Drosophila melanogaster: one gene and its partners. The gene in region 1 interacts genetically with each later gene. Each region holds a gene or a part of one and is shown on either strand. Other genes may lie near its edges. The genes, in order: slo, Sod2 and Ca-alpha1D.

What was found.
Region 2: of slo (region 1) and Sod2, changing one suppresses a phenotype caused by changing the other (phenotypic suppression), as found in Drosophila melanogaster (one study listed by BioGRID).
Region 3: of slo (region 1) and Ca-alpha1D, changing one suppresses a phenotype caused by changing the other (phenotypic suppression), as found in Drosophila melanogaster (one study listed by BioGRID).

Annotation. Positions count from the first base shown.
Region 1 is NT_033777.3:24,660,549-24,664,793, forward strand, and holds the start of slo (slowpoke), read left to right. Parts: upstream 1-1,942; 5' UTR 1,943-2,015; intron 2,016-3,815; 5' UTR 3,816-4,245. Other genes in the region: Ppox (protoporphyrinogen oxidase), read right to left, coding at 1-1,177. UniProt on the Drosophila melanogaster protein: Potassium channel activated by both membrane depolarization or increase in cytosolic Ca(2+) that mediates export of K(+). Its activation dampens the excitatory events that elevate the cytosolic Ca(2+) concentration and/or depolarize the cell membrane.
Region 2 is NT_033778.4:16,772,056-16,776,238, reverse strand, and holds Sod2 (superoxide dismutase 2 (Mn)), read left to right. Parts: upstream 1-2,323; 5' UTR 2,324-2,449; coding exon 2,450-2,484; intron 2,485-2,600; coding exon 2,601-3,219; 3' UTR 3,220-3,454; downstream 3,455-4,183. Other genes in the region: Arp53D (Actin-related protein 53D), read right to left, coding at 689-1,836, 1,890-1,977. UniProt on the Drosophila melanogaster protein: Destroys superoxide anion radicals which are normally produced within the cells and which are toxic to biological systems.
Region 3 is NT_033779.5:16,165,996-16,170,240, reverse strand, and holds the start of Ca-alpha1D (Ca[2+]-channel protein alpha[[1]] subunit D), read right to left. Parts: upstream 1,896-4,245; 5' UTR 1,770-1,895; exon of another isoform or gene 1,684-1,769; intron 755-1,683; 5' UTR 345-754; coding exon 335-344; intron 1-334.

The DNA of each region.
Region 1 (4,245 bases):
CAAGAATCTGCTTGGGGCTTGGACGATCACCGAACCACTGGTCGAACCAATGGCCACCCATCATCACGGTAAGCACAGTGTTCTCGCCCATGTCGAAGCAGCAGCTGTCGAAGATGACGCCGAGCAGAGGTAACTTTTCCACTGGCGGCACTAGCAATCCAAAGCCGTCTTGTTTGAGTAGCTTGCCGGGGAACTGCATGTTCACTACCAGCACATCCACGTACGGAATGCTCAAAAGTTGGGCGCTCAGCGAGGGATGCTGCTGCTTTACCAGGGGCGCGAGTTTGTAGGCGGGCAGGGAGCTGACCACATGCTCCACCGGAACTTCGGCATCCTTGATGTTCATTCGAACCCCGGAGCTGCTGAAGGTCAGGTTCCGGCATTCGTTGCTTAGCTGCACGTTCACATCCCGCTCACCTAAGTACTTTCGCATAGTTTTGGGTAGGTTCTCCAGACCGCCTTTCAGCCCGTACATGGCCCACTTCTCCTTTACCGCCTGCGCATACAGCTTGGGCTGTCTTTCGGCAAATAGTCCATCCTTGGTGTCCTTGGTCTTGTTCTTCTCAAAGCGGGAAATGAGTGTGCCCTTGAGCACTCCTCCGTACTTCTGTTCCTTTTCAAAGAGCCCCTCCATCAGGAAGCGCACACTTATTTCTCGCGCGTCACCGGCGCAAATACCGCAGATCATGGGACTGATGGCGTAGTCGGCTATCTCCTTACCAAACCGCCGCTCAGCGAAACTGTAGATGCTCTCATCCTCCAGCTTCGCTTTCTTGCTTGCTGTGAACAGATCGCGAAGAACCGCTTTGTATAGCGGCTTCGTGAAGGGAGGCAGGACGCCGAAGAGACCCTTGGGACTGTTGGGCAGCATGCAGAGCTGTCCCTTGGCATACAGCATTCGGTTGCGTGCTGCGACATGACTGCGTCGAATGGGAGTCACCTCCAGCTTCAGATCCTCCACCAATTCTAGCGTATTGGCACCTGGCTCACCAACTGGGCGTATGGTTCGCGGTCCGCTCTCGAAGATGAAGTTGCGATCCTTGCGATTCTCCGACCGCACCCATCCGCCCACACGGGGCGAGGCCTCGTAGATGGTCAGCGGCTTCCCGAATCGCCGCAACAGGTAGTATCCGGCGGATAGTCCACTCAATCCGCCTCCCAGCACGGCCGTCGTCATGGTCCTTCTGCTGCTTCTCGTTGCTCCCGAATCCCTTAGAGGATTCAGACTAGTTCTGGTTTGCAGACGAAAAAATCTATGCCGGCTTCGATCGTTCAGACCAAAATAAACCCAGGTGACATAACTATCGTTGAAGCTATCGATAAGCTCAAATCCAAAATCGCTGAGCTTGCAATCGATGTTATATGCGATTGAAGAGTTTTGAATTGACAATTCTGCAGAAAATAAAATCAAATAAAGGAAGGGATAAATATTTTATAAAATAAATAGCATTTATTGTTATACTTATTTTGGTAACTACAGCTAACATAATATCTTATAATCGAAACAATGGTTTTAGAATATTTATTGTTAAATTATGTAAAGTTAAATAAAATATAGTGCAATTGATAATACTTAATTTAAGCATTGATACAAGAATACAAATGCATAGTACTTTTATTTGCCATTATTTTATCTCATTTAACATGCATTTGTGCACCCGTCCCAAAAGTATGCAATGAATTTCTTCCGACATTCCTCATACGCCACGTGTGCATCGTGCGGAAGTTCACTTGCACCTGCATCGGCACCATTACCATCATCATCACCATCACCGCGGCACTGGGTCATTCATAGTGAATGGGTTTTGGCGCCAGTTTTGATGAATCGAACGAAGCGTCCAGCCCGCACCAACCGCAGGACTCCGAAAAGCTCCCAAAGACGAGCTTGGGCCGTGCGGAAGTACATTGGGCCACCGATTTCCATGTCGTCGGAGTCGACATCGCGCAGAATTGTATACGCTGCTGACGAGAAAGGTTGGTCCTCGCGTTTGAGCGCGTCGCGTCTTTTATTCTGGGTGTGTGAGTGAGTGGACTGTGTGGAAAAGTGCCTATCGCGTATATGTATATTCACGGGACCCATACACACACACACAGCTGCAGCACTTGGAAATGTGAAAAATTTTCAAGCTGCGTTTGCCAATTACGGGGAAAATTGAGCAAAAAACGTCTTAAAATCCGGGCAATTATCGTGGCCATTTGCGGAACGGCAATTGTGCAAAATTCGGTATCCGTTGAAAACGGGCTCAGTGAACGTGAAAATGTGCCACACACACACTTACAACGCAGGAAATTCAATTAATTAGTGACCGAGTGTGTGTGTGTGTGTTCGCCCATAAAACGGCGATTGTGATTGCGAAAAAAGTGTTGCATACATAAAGGAGCTAAGAAGTGGACCAACGAGCAACACTAAAGGAAAACTCTTTAGAAATACAGTTTTTCGCTTTTTTTTTTGGCACTGCTGCAGGTTTTCATTTAAAAGATACATTTGTTGAAGTCAACACACACGGACACACACACATGCGCATACGGCACAGTTTTTCGTTCGTTTTTAAAACGAGCACACCACAAGTTCCCCAAAACGAAAGGACGAAGGGACCCGACCCGATGATAAAGTCGATGTTCCAGGCCGGAGATACACTTGTATCGTTCCCCTGCCTTTGCCGCTGCTGTCATCGTCAATGTTATTTTTGTTGCTTCCTACTCGTCGTCCTTCGTGTGTCGCAGGATACCTTGGTATATGTGTGTCAGTCAGTCACTGGCCGAGCGTGGGTGTGTGTGTGCGTGCGCCAGGATACGCAGATACCCAGATACCTACAAATGAAGCCACCAAATCCAGGCGAGTTCAATGCGCGGCCAGGACGAAGGACTAAGCTCTGTTTACATTGGCTCACGAATGCCCATTTTCCAAGCCCCCTGTATTTTCCGCCCGTTGGCGTGCCGTGGGAAATTGTGTCGCCTGCTTATTTATTATGAAAATGCAACTTTCATTTGACTCGGCATTTGTCCCGTTTCCATTGTTTGCAGGCACATTAGGCAGCTCGTTAAGCGCATGAAAGTGTGTGTCCTGCGGGTGTGCGAGTGTGTGTGTGTGACACGAAGGGGAACTAAAAACTAGGGCAGTGTGTTTCCGTTTCAACGACATGCCGCAGGCGAAAGAACGAGTCCGTCCGCAGGACAGCAAAGCCTCGCTAATCGGGCAGGAAATGAATAACTTAAAAAGTTACCAATGACAAGTTTGACATTAAATGTATCATATACAAATAACATGCAAACGAAAGTGATAATTGTAAAGCATGTTGTATATTGCCAAAAATTCTAGTTTTTGGTACCACATTGCGTATGCTTAACCAAAATGTGCGACTTTCGCAGGCAAGGAAAAAGCTTTCTGCCCGACAATTTTCGGATTCCCTGCATCGCGCAGCCGCCAATACGCCAGCAGCAATTGTGAGAAATTGAGAGAAATTCTCAGAGAATTCTCCGAGAACTGAGAATTTAAAAACGGCGAGAATAGTGCTGATTTTGCTTTCAAGTCTGCTTCGCATCTTTATTTATTTATTTACTTGACACGCTTGCTTTTCCGGCTACGGAAAATGGTGATACAATGTCTAAAATAATATTAATTTAATAGAATATATATACGAATACAAATATATACGTAATATCATTGACAAATGTCTGCGGTCGTAAAAAAATTAAAAACGCAAATAACGCTGACAGCCTAACTAAAAAATATAATTAATTACCGCGTTCGTCGCGCTGCCTTGGCAAATTAAAAAGTATTTAAATTATCGCTCAACTTAATAAATCTCTTGCAGCTTAACACACAAGGAAAAATTTCGTGGGCAAACAAAGCTAAATAAGTTGTGAAAGGAAACATGAGCAGTGTGACTAAGCGCAGTTTCTAATTTAACCAAATTCCAATTCAAATTCAAAAGAACGAACAACTATTGATCAAGACGGCAAAGAAAGAAGCAAACAAACCAAAACGCACAATGAAACTGATAAGCTTAACGCAGCTGATAACACAATGAAACTCATCCACGGATCCGAAATGCAATTATGAAATAATCAGCAAGCCGCAATCCATCAGCCAGTGAGGAAAATCCAGCCAGCCAGCCCAAGAATTTCCACGTGCAACATTGGCGAGCCGCAGCGACCACAAATCGTCCAAACACATTGATGTGCGATTTGAGCGTGTGAATGTTGGCAGCCCTGGAGCCCTGCCTCGGTGGTTTAGCCAGTACT
Region 2 (4,183 bases), on another chromosome or scaffold:
TCGAAATCTTGTCAAGCTCTTAAACAAAAGCATCGTATGCCCAAGTGCATACGACTGCGAAATGATGGAGCTTGACAATTATGATTACGAAGGCGAATGCTTTGAGAGTTGAAACTTGGATTTTGTTGTCGCCCGGTGCACGTGCAACTGAATTGAAGTTAAGGTTACTGCGTTATTGTGATTCCCACCGAGATGTTACAATCGAACACATTTGTATTTTCATTTAGCCTAAAACATTCGAAATTAATCAGAATAAGAGTTTAGAAGTTATTTGTTTGGTTCAATGATTGCTATTTTATCTTGTTGCTAATTTACCACCAGGTTCGTTTGACTGGGAGTTTTTTTTTAAGGATTTTTGTTTTTAGCTGGGGGATGTTGTATCTGCGGGTTAATTTAACTTGGGGTTATTTGATCTAGGGATTAATTTACCTAAGAATTTTTTATATGGGAGTTAGTTTACCTGGGGGCTAGTTAATCTGGCGGTTAGTTTAGATAGTGTTGCATTTGTGCTGTTAGAAGGGCGTTACATGGGCCTTGTGCTTCCCAAATGCAACTAATTTTTGTGTAGGTAACCCCCAGTTTTGTTTATTTTATATCGACTAGATTTGTTTAAGAAATTACATTCATTAGCAAATAGAAAATATATAATAATCATTGCTCATAACGAATATTTGAACACCCTCCTTAACTAAAAACACTTTCGATGGACTATGGCGGAACCAACTTCTTCGTACTCCAAGCTGTCGATCCACATGTTTTGGAAGCTCGTGAGTGAGGCCAAGACGGAACCACCCGTCCAAACGGAGAATCTGCGGTCTGGACTAGCGTTAACCTTGATTCGGATGGATGGTGGAGCCATTTCGGTTAGGTCTTGCAGGAATCTATGCTCGATGTTACGAAACATGGTCGTACCGCCAGAGAGAACAATGTTCGCATACATATCCTTTCGCAGATCCATGTCGCAGTTGGTTATCGAGTGATGGGTGGCCTCGTGGATGCCCATCACCTCCTGACCCAGCAAACTGGGTTGGAAGAGAGCCTCCGGGCAGCGGAATCTCTCGCAGCCCAAAACGATTTTCTGCCCATCTGGCAGCTCATAGGTTTCCACCTTTCCGTGGAGATCCATTTCCTTGGCATAGTTCATTGACACATAGCAGAGTTTCTCCTTGATTTCACGCACGATTTCCCGTTCAGCAGAGGTGCCCATTGTAACGCCCCTCTCCAGAAGCAGCTTGCATAGATAATCGGTGAGGTCCCTGCCGGCCAGATCAACTCGTACACAGGCGTGGGGCAGGGCAAATCCTTCGTAGATCGGTACCGTGTGCGTCACACCATCACCCGAGTCCACCACAATGCCCACAGTACGCCCGGTGGCGTAAAGTGAGAGCACAGCCTGAACTGCTACATAAAAAGCTGGCACCTGAAAGTGTTCGAACATAATCTCTGTCATCTTCTCTCTATTCTTCTTCGGATTCAGTGGGGCTTCGGTGAGTAGAGCCGGCAAATCCATTGGATCCGCCCGCAAGAGCTCGTACGTGTGCTGCCAAACCATCTCCATTTCATCCCAGTTCTTGACCATTCCGTGCTCGATGGGATACTTTAGGGTTAGTATTCCCCTTTTTCGGGCTGCCGCCTCGCCAATAACACTATCACCGATCACGGAATCCAGCAGGACGTTCAGGTGACGAGGTCTGCCCACAATCGACGGGAAGACAGCACGGGGAGTATCTTCTGGGGAGAATCCAGCCTTACATACTCCAGAGCCGTTGTCAATAACCACTGCGGCGTGGTGTGAATTACTATCTACCTCGCTGCTCATGTTTCCAGGAGAGGTTGCTGAACGAATCATGGTCAAATCATAAAATCTTTAGCTTATTTAAGCAACTTACGTAAATGTAGATATTTGTGAAGAATGTTCTGTGCCCGTTTATTTGTTATATCGATTTTGATTCGGGAAGGTATTTGAAATGTAGACATGTTGTGTGCTGTGTTCCAGTCGGATTTTTAAACTTATGACGTTAATTTCATGGTTTATTTCCAATTTAGCGCCATGACATACAGAGGCCAAAAATCGATTAATTCAAGTATCAATCGAATGGATGCAGTCGATACGTAAGCAGCTAAAATATGCTAATAGTCACTAAAGTAGTATTTAAACATAAGAAATATTTAAGAAATCCTCAATATGATTTGAATATGTTTCAGTGCAATGTTTCAATTAAAAATAGTTTTTAATTTCTTTTAGTTTTACTATTTAACTTCAATATATATAAGTTGATCTCACATCACTGACTGATTGGGGTCTTTCGATATTTTCTCATCTGCTCATCTCTAGCAGTAAATTGTTCAAATAGAACAAGCGAAATAACGAGAACGTAAGCCTTGTTTTATTTGATATAAAATCTGATATCGGGACTTAGCCTTATTAGCAGTCGAATAAAACGCAGATATGTTCGTGGCCCGTAAAATTTCGCAAACTGCAAGGTAAGTTGCGAAAAAAAGTATGCCCAAATCGATGCCGGCTGATTACATAAATAGCAACAAATGGCGACCCTGATCTTGAGGACATTATAAAACAAGACACACTTAACCCTTTGCAGCCTGGCGGTGCGTGGCAAGCACACCCTACCGAAGCTGCCCTACGACTATGCCGCCCTGGAGCCTATCATCTGCCGGGAGATCATGGAGCTGCATCACCAGAAGCACCACCAGACCTACGTCAACAATCTAAATGCCGCCGAGGAGCAGCTGGAGGAGGCCAAGTCGAAGAGCGACACCACCAAGCTGATTCAGCTGGCTCCTGCCCTGCGTTTCAATGGCGGTGGCCACATCAACCACACCATCTTCTGGCAGAACCTCTCGCCCAACAAGACCCAGCCCAGCGATGATCTGAAGAAGGCCATCGAGTCGCAGTGGAAGAGCCTCGAGGAGTTCAAAAAGGAGCTGACCACGCTGACCGTGGCGGTCCAGGGCTCCGGCTGGGGCTGGCTGGGCTTCAACAAGAAGTCGGGCAAACTGCAACTGGCCGCCCTGCCCAACCAGGATCCCCTGGAGGCCTCCACCGGCCTGATCCCGCTCTTCGGCATCGATGTCTGGGAGCACGCCTACTATCTGCAGTACAAGAACGTGCGTCCCTCCTACGTGGAGGCCATCTGGGACATCGCCAACTGGGATGACATCTCGTGCCGCTTCCAGGAGGCCAAGAAGCTCGGTTGCTAAGCACAGCCGGCGATTGCGTATGTTTAATCTATAAGCATCTGCGGATCGGAGATCCTAAATTGTAGTCTAAGTTGCGGCTAATAAATTGGTACCAGCTAGCAACTAATTTTTATAATTTTTATGAATGGGAATAAAACAATTTAAAACATAATTTCCGAAGATAACGCTTCACAAAGGCGTATTGAAACTATTACTTCATTGAGGAATTAAAAAATATACATATACCTATTCATATTTTTTATTTTTATCAATTTTATTACGCTCCAAAAAAATTAATTTTTATATTAAATTAAAATATCGCAAATACTGTAAATGTTTTACAACACTGCCGCCCATGGTGCCATCTCTAGCAAATCAGCTGTGCGCGAGCCAAACAAAAACAAAACAAAAGTCAGCCTGCCGCGAAATCGGGGGAGGAAAATTGACATTTCCACCGAGTTTTCCCGAACTTGCGTGCGCGCAGCTGCAAACAATTTTCCAGCACGCGTATCCGAATGGTGGAACAAATGGCCAGCCGCTGGCAGAGTCGTTTGTTGCCTGTTCGCGTAATGGCCATCCTCGAAAATCGCCCGGAGTTTTGAAATCGAGAGACCAGTACGAAACAAAGGAAAATCATTTAATTTCCTGAGGGCGGTGACGAATGAAAAACATACAAAATAAACCACTTGAGTGCAATAATAATTTAATAAAGAACTGTGATTGTGAGTGTGTGAGGAGAACTGTTGACGCCCATCAAGGAATTTAACTTCTAAACTTCTAAACGTAAGTAAGTTACCAAAGAAAACACAAAACTTGATAAGAAAATATGAGATTGGGTTTCAATTAAAGGTGTTTTCGATTAGTTTTTTGAAAAACTCCACTTGACGGTATTCGGGAAAATGTGTGAAAAATCAATATTCCACAGCCAGTTGCCCCAGAAGTGCGCACGCATCTCCCTTCGGGAACTTTTCCAACTTTCGTCCTG
Region 3 (4,245 bases), on another chromosome or scaffold:
GGGGTAATGGGTGGCACAACAGGGGTCGGAAATAGGTTATTAAAGTTAGTAATCAAACTGTGAGATATTGGGGAGATATTTTCGTAACTTGTGAGTGGCATAATAAAACTTTCATACGCTGTTATTAACTAATAAAATGCCCTTTTTAAAGTACTATTTTCTTTAAAATAAAGTTTCAATGTATCATGAGGCTAGTAGCTCCGCTTAAAGAGTCCACTGTTCTAATTAAAATCAAATTTGCAACATAAAGCTCTTATCAGTATTATAACGAAATGGATTATCCCAAATATATCACAATTTTATTTCAAGGTATTATTAGAAAAAGTCCTTGTACCTGTATTCATATTTGAAGTTTCATTCGGACGCACAATATTTATTGCCTTTCCTTTAAAATGCCTTATTCGTTGAGCGTTTTCCTTGCCAAAAGCCAAAAAGCGAAACGCGGTCAAAGCATCGCAGCAACAGGTGTGTTTGGTCTCAGTCGCCACACAGACATGCACATTTTAATCAGACTCACTTAAATAAGCGAAAAGCTTTTTGTTTTGTATTTAGAAAATGGTTTAATAGTTGTAGAAATTCGACGGTGGTGACTTAGATTTTTTTTTGTATTTTTTAGTTTGGTTTTTTTGGTTTTTAGTTTGGACGAGTTTAGAGCGGCGGATTGTAAAAATTTGGCATTTGTTTGTTAGTCTGCAGTGGAGAGTCGTTTTGAGGATTGAAGATCTGAAGCATAATGTGGTTTTACAACAGGACACTGAGGACAGTTTTCAATTACACCAAAACATTAATTATTTTATTACATCGAACACTTTTTTTCGCAGTTGGAAAACCCATCGCATTCAAAGTATCTAGAAATTTCTCTAACCATCCCCCAAATTAGTTTTTAGAACATATTTTCGGTAATCCCCGACCACAAAGCACTTTATTGAATTTTACTCAATTCCATTTGAGTGCACCGACAACGAATTTTCATCGCCATCATGATAACTTATCGGCATTTCCTGGCATTACCTATATATAACCCACTTTTCCGTGGCATGTGAGAGGGAGAGAGCATCAAAACAAAAACACGCGCAATGTTTACATTTTCCTTTGTTGTCGCAACGACTTTTTTGTGACCCAACTGTCAAATGGGCAATCAACTTTGACTGAGAGAAAGCGACTTTCTCCCGTTTTCTCTCCAACTGGCAAGCTCGTTTTGCAGCCGAGCTTTTGGCCTTTGCAGCAAGGAAAATACATGTTTTATTAAATTACCAAAAAAAAGTATTATTATTGCTTTTGCGCTTGTATTTTGTTATTAGTACGAGTATTTCCCAAAAACAAGCTAATCGCAATCACACATTAGTGCGGTTGAATGTCAGCTTGTCTGTGCATTTGGGTAAATATCAAACAACTCTGTAAACGGAAATGGGGTCAAGAGCGCGCATTTGGCAGTAAAAACTAATTTGCTCATGGTCTTTTGATGGCCCGCCTGGGAAATGATGTACGGATACTATTTTGCCTTGCTGGCATATTAATTACATTAAGTATTTCAGGTCTTCCTATGGTTTTTAGCTGCGTTCCGAGAGGTTAAAGCTGACCGATTGACCTACCCCCGCATATGTAATAGCCTTCACACGCACACACACCAGCTCACCACGGCACCAACACATGGGAAAGTGTGAAAAATTTCTAATGGCTCACTGCGAAGAAAGTGAAAGCAGCTTTCCACGGTGTCCCTATAACCTGTCGTTAGTTTCCCCTATTCGACAATCAACATTGCACATTACAATTTCGATATTATTGCCTTGGTTCGTTTGATTTTCCTGGCTTTTCAGTGTTGTATTTTATTGTATTTTTCACACGCGACCATCAGCAACGCGAACAAGTTTAAGGAATCAGCCACAAAAGCACACTGTGCAGGAAAAGTCAGCTTTTCGCAGAGGCAGCCGTGAAAATGTTGATGTTAGCCCAAGAAAAGCTTAGGATCTGGAGCTTGCTTATCTGCTGATGGAAGGGTTCTAAAATTGGGAAAAGCCTGTTTGGTGTAATTAGGTATTCCAAATGTTCCTAGGACGTTGGAATTCAAAAACTCATTTTCATGGAGAAACTATATTCAAATAAAATTTATAGATATTTACATAACCTGGTTTTATACAAAATAAGAAAATAATAAAATCAATCATTTATTTTCAAAAAAATTTCTTTGCAACCCATAAAATTGTGCACGAGGTTTGAATAACGATACCATTTTAACTATTTGAGATGTTTATTCGGAATATACAGGATATGAGTTTCATATAAGTATTTATTCAATCGCTTGAAAATGGGAAATCCCAGAGGTATTGTTCAACACTAAAGTTGTGTTTACAAACAAACCGAAATCGGAACGTAAATGCCGATAAATGAAAGCGGGATGCAAACATTTATGCTAGCCTATTTTTGTTATTTTTTTTTTCTCTCTTTGTTCTCTTTCTATAGATATTTTAAGCATAAGCAAATCAACTTTTATGAATAGATCGAGAGTTTTGTGGTATTGAGTATCTTTATCCCGCTTGCACTCACATTTGTTGTCAATCAGCTGTTGTTGGTGAACGCATGCGCAGATGAAAATGTTTGACAGTTGGCGAGAGACCAAAAAATTTCGAGAGAAAATATTGAAAATTACCATTTTCCCTGAATTATTTTTTCTTTCGCGGGTGAACTTCACTTACACAGCGGGCCGGCCTGAGTCACTGAGAATTTTTTTCTGACGCTTGGCAATATATCATAAGTTATAAAATAAAATCGGTTTTCCCATGGGTGTGTTCCTCGACGATATATACAATTTGGCTAATGATATATTTCCGGCTGAAAGAGACTTCTTGATTTGTTGACTTCTTAGGCCGTTTCATGAAAATAGATGTTCGCAACTTGTTTCTTTAATTTAACAAATGTCATCTAACCAATTTGTTGTGATTATCTGTGCTTTCTACGCGTTTTATAAGTAGATATATACATACACCCATAATATCTGATCACCATTAATTGATTTGTTTATCTCTTCCCGCTATTTTTATGAGTTTGTGTGTGATTATTTATTTTTCGTTTTATCGAAACAATTAAATGACCTGGATTTCCTAAGATGCTTTCATTTCAGTGACCATTATCGCTAAACTAATTCTGCCCAATTTAATTTCAAACATGAAACTTAATAATTATTTTATTGAAGGTCAGAAGATTTTAGTGTGCCTTCCCTAAACAGAGGCATCCATTATTTTTGACTATAAAATTGAATTATTCCGCCTCAACGAGAAATTAGTTTTCATCGTGTCCAATGAGAATTGTGCGGGAAAATATTTTTTAAAACAACAGAAATACGTCAGCGGGTGAAGGGGTTGGGGCGTGAGGGTATAGTGTACGATCGGCATTTCGTCGGTCAATTTCTTTGGGCCAGAACAGCAGACTATTTCGCCGGTCTAAAATTAGACCAAGCACACGTAGTTGGATCTGTCGATGCGGCAGTGTTGTTAGTGCTCCTGTTGGCTCTATTGTAGCCCCCAAAATTTAAAACAGAAAAAAAAAAAACAACAAAAGCGATCCGCAGGCAGCGAAATTAAATTTAGCCTAATTGTATTGCCTTTACTTAAATCAAATTGCATGGCTTATTGAAATATGCAATGCTGTAGCCTGAAAACACCACATGGAACACTTTATCGGCTATCTTTAGACTGCTAAATCGATGCTCATATATATATAAATATATACTTATGTATAGTATATACTTGATCTAGTTAATTGCTGGGGCTGCTTGTTGAACATTTCACTTACAAGCTGATCCCTCGGCGATTCCCTCGCGTGGCAACAATAAAAACACGCTGCGATTTTTATTTGTTGAGAAGCAGTCGTGCGTACGAAAATCCGAGCCAAAAATCCAACGGCAGCATACGTGGCGTTAATATTTTTAAACTTTTTGGGAGATATCTTCTCGACTGCTAGTACATATCATTCGTTGGGCTGCGAATCTGCCAACCTCCTTAAATAATAGTTACTACTATTACGACCCTGTTGAAGTGGAAACATTTTGAAGAACTTGTTCACTTATATCATGTGTATTTTTATATATAGCTGCTAAAAGTGTGCCAGCTCAACATATAATATAGATTTATCTCACACGTTATACATATATTTTTCATATACATATATATTTTTCCACTTTAAACTCGTTTGCACTCTTAACCAATTTGAGTAAACATTTTCCACTTCATCAAATCAATTTTATTGGTG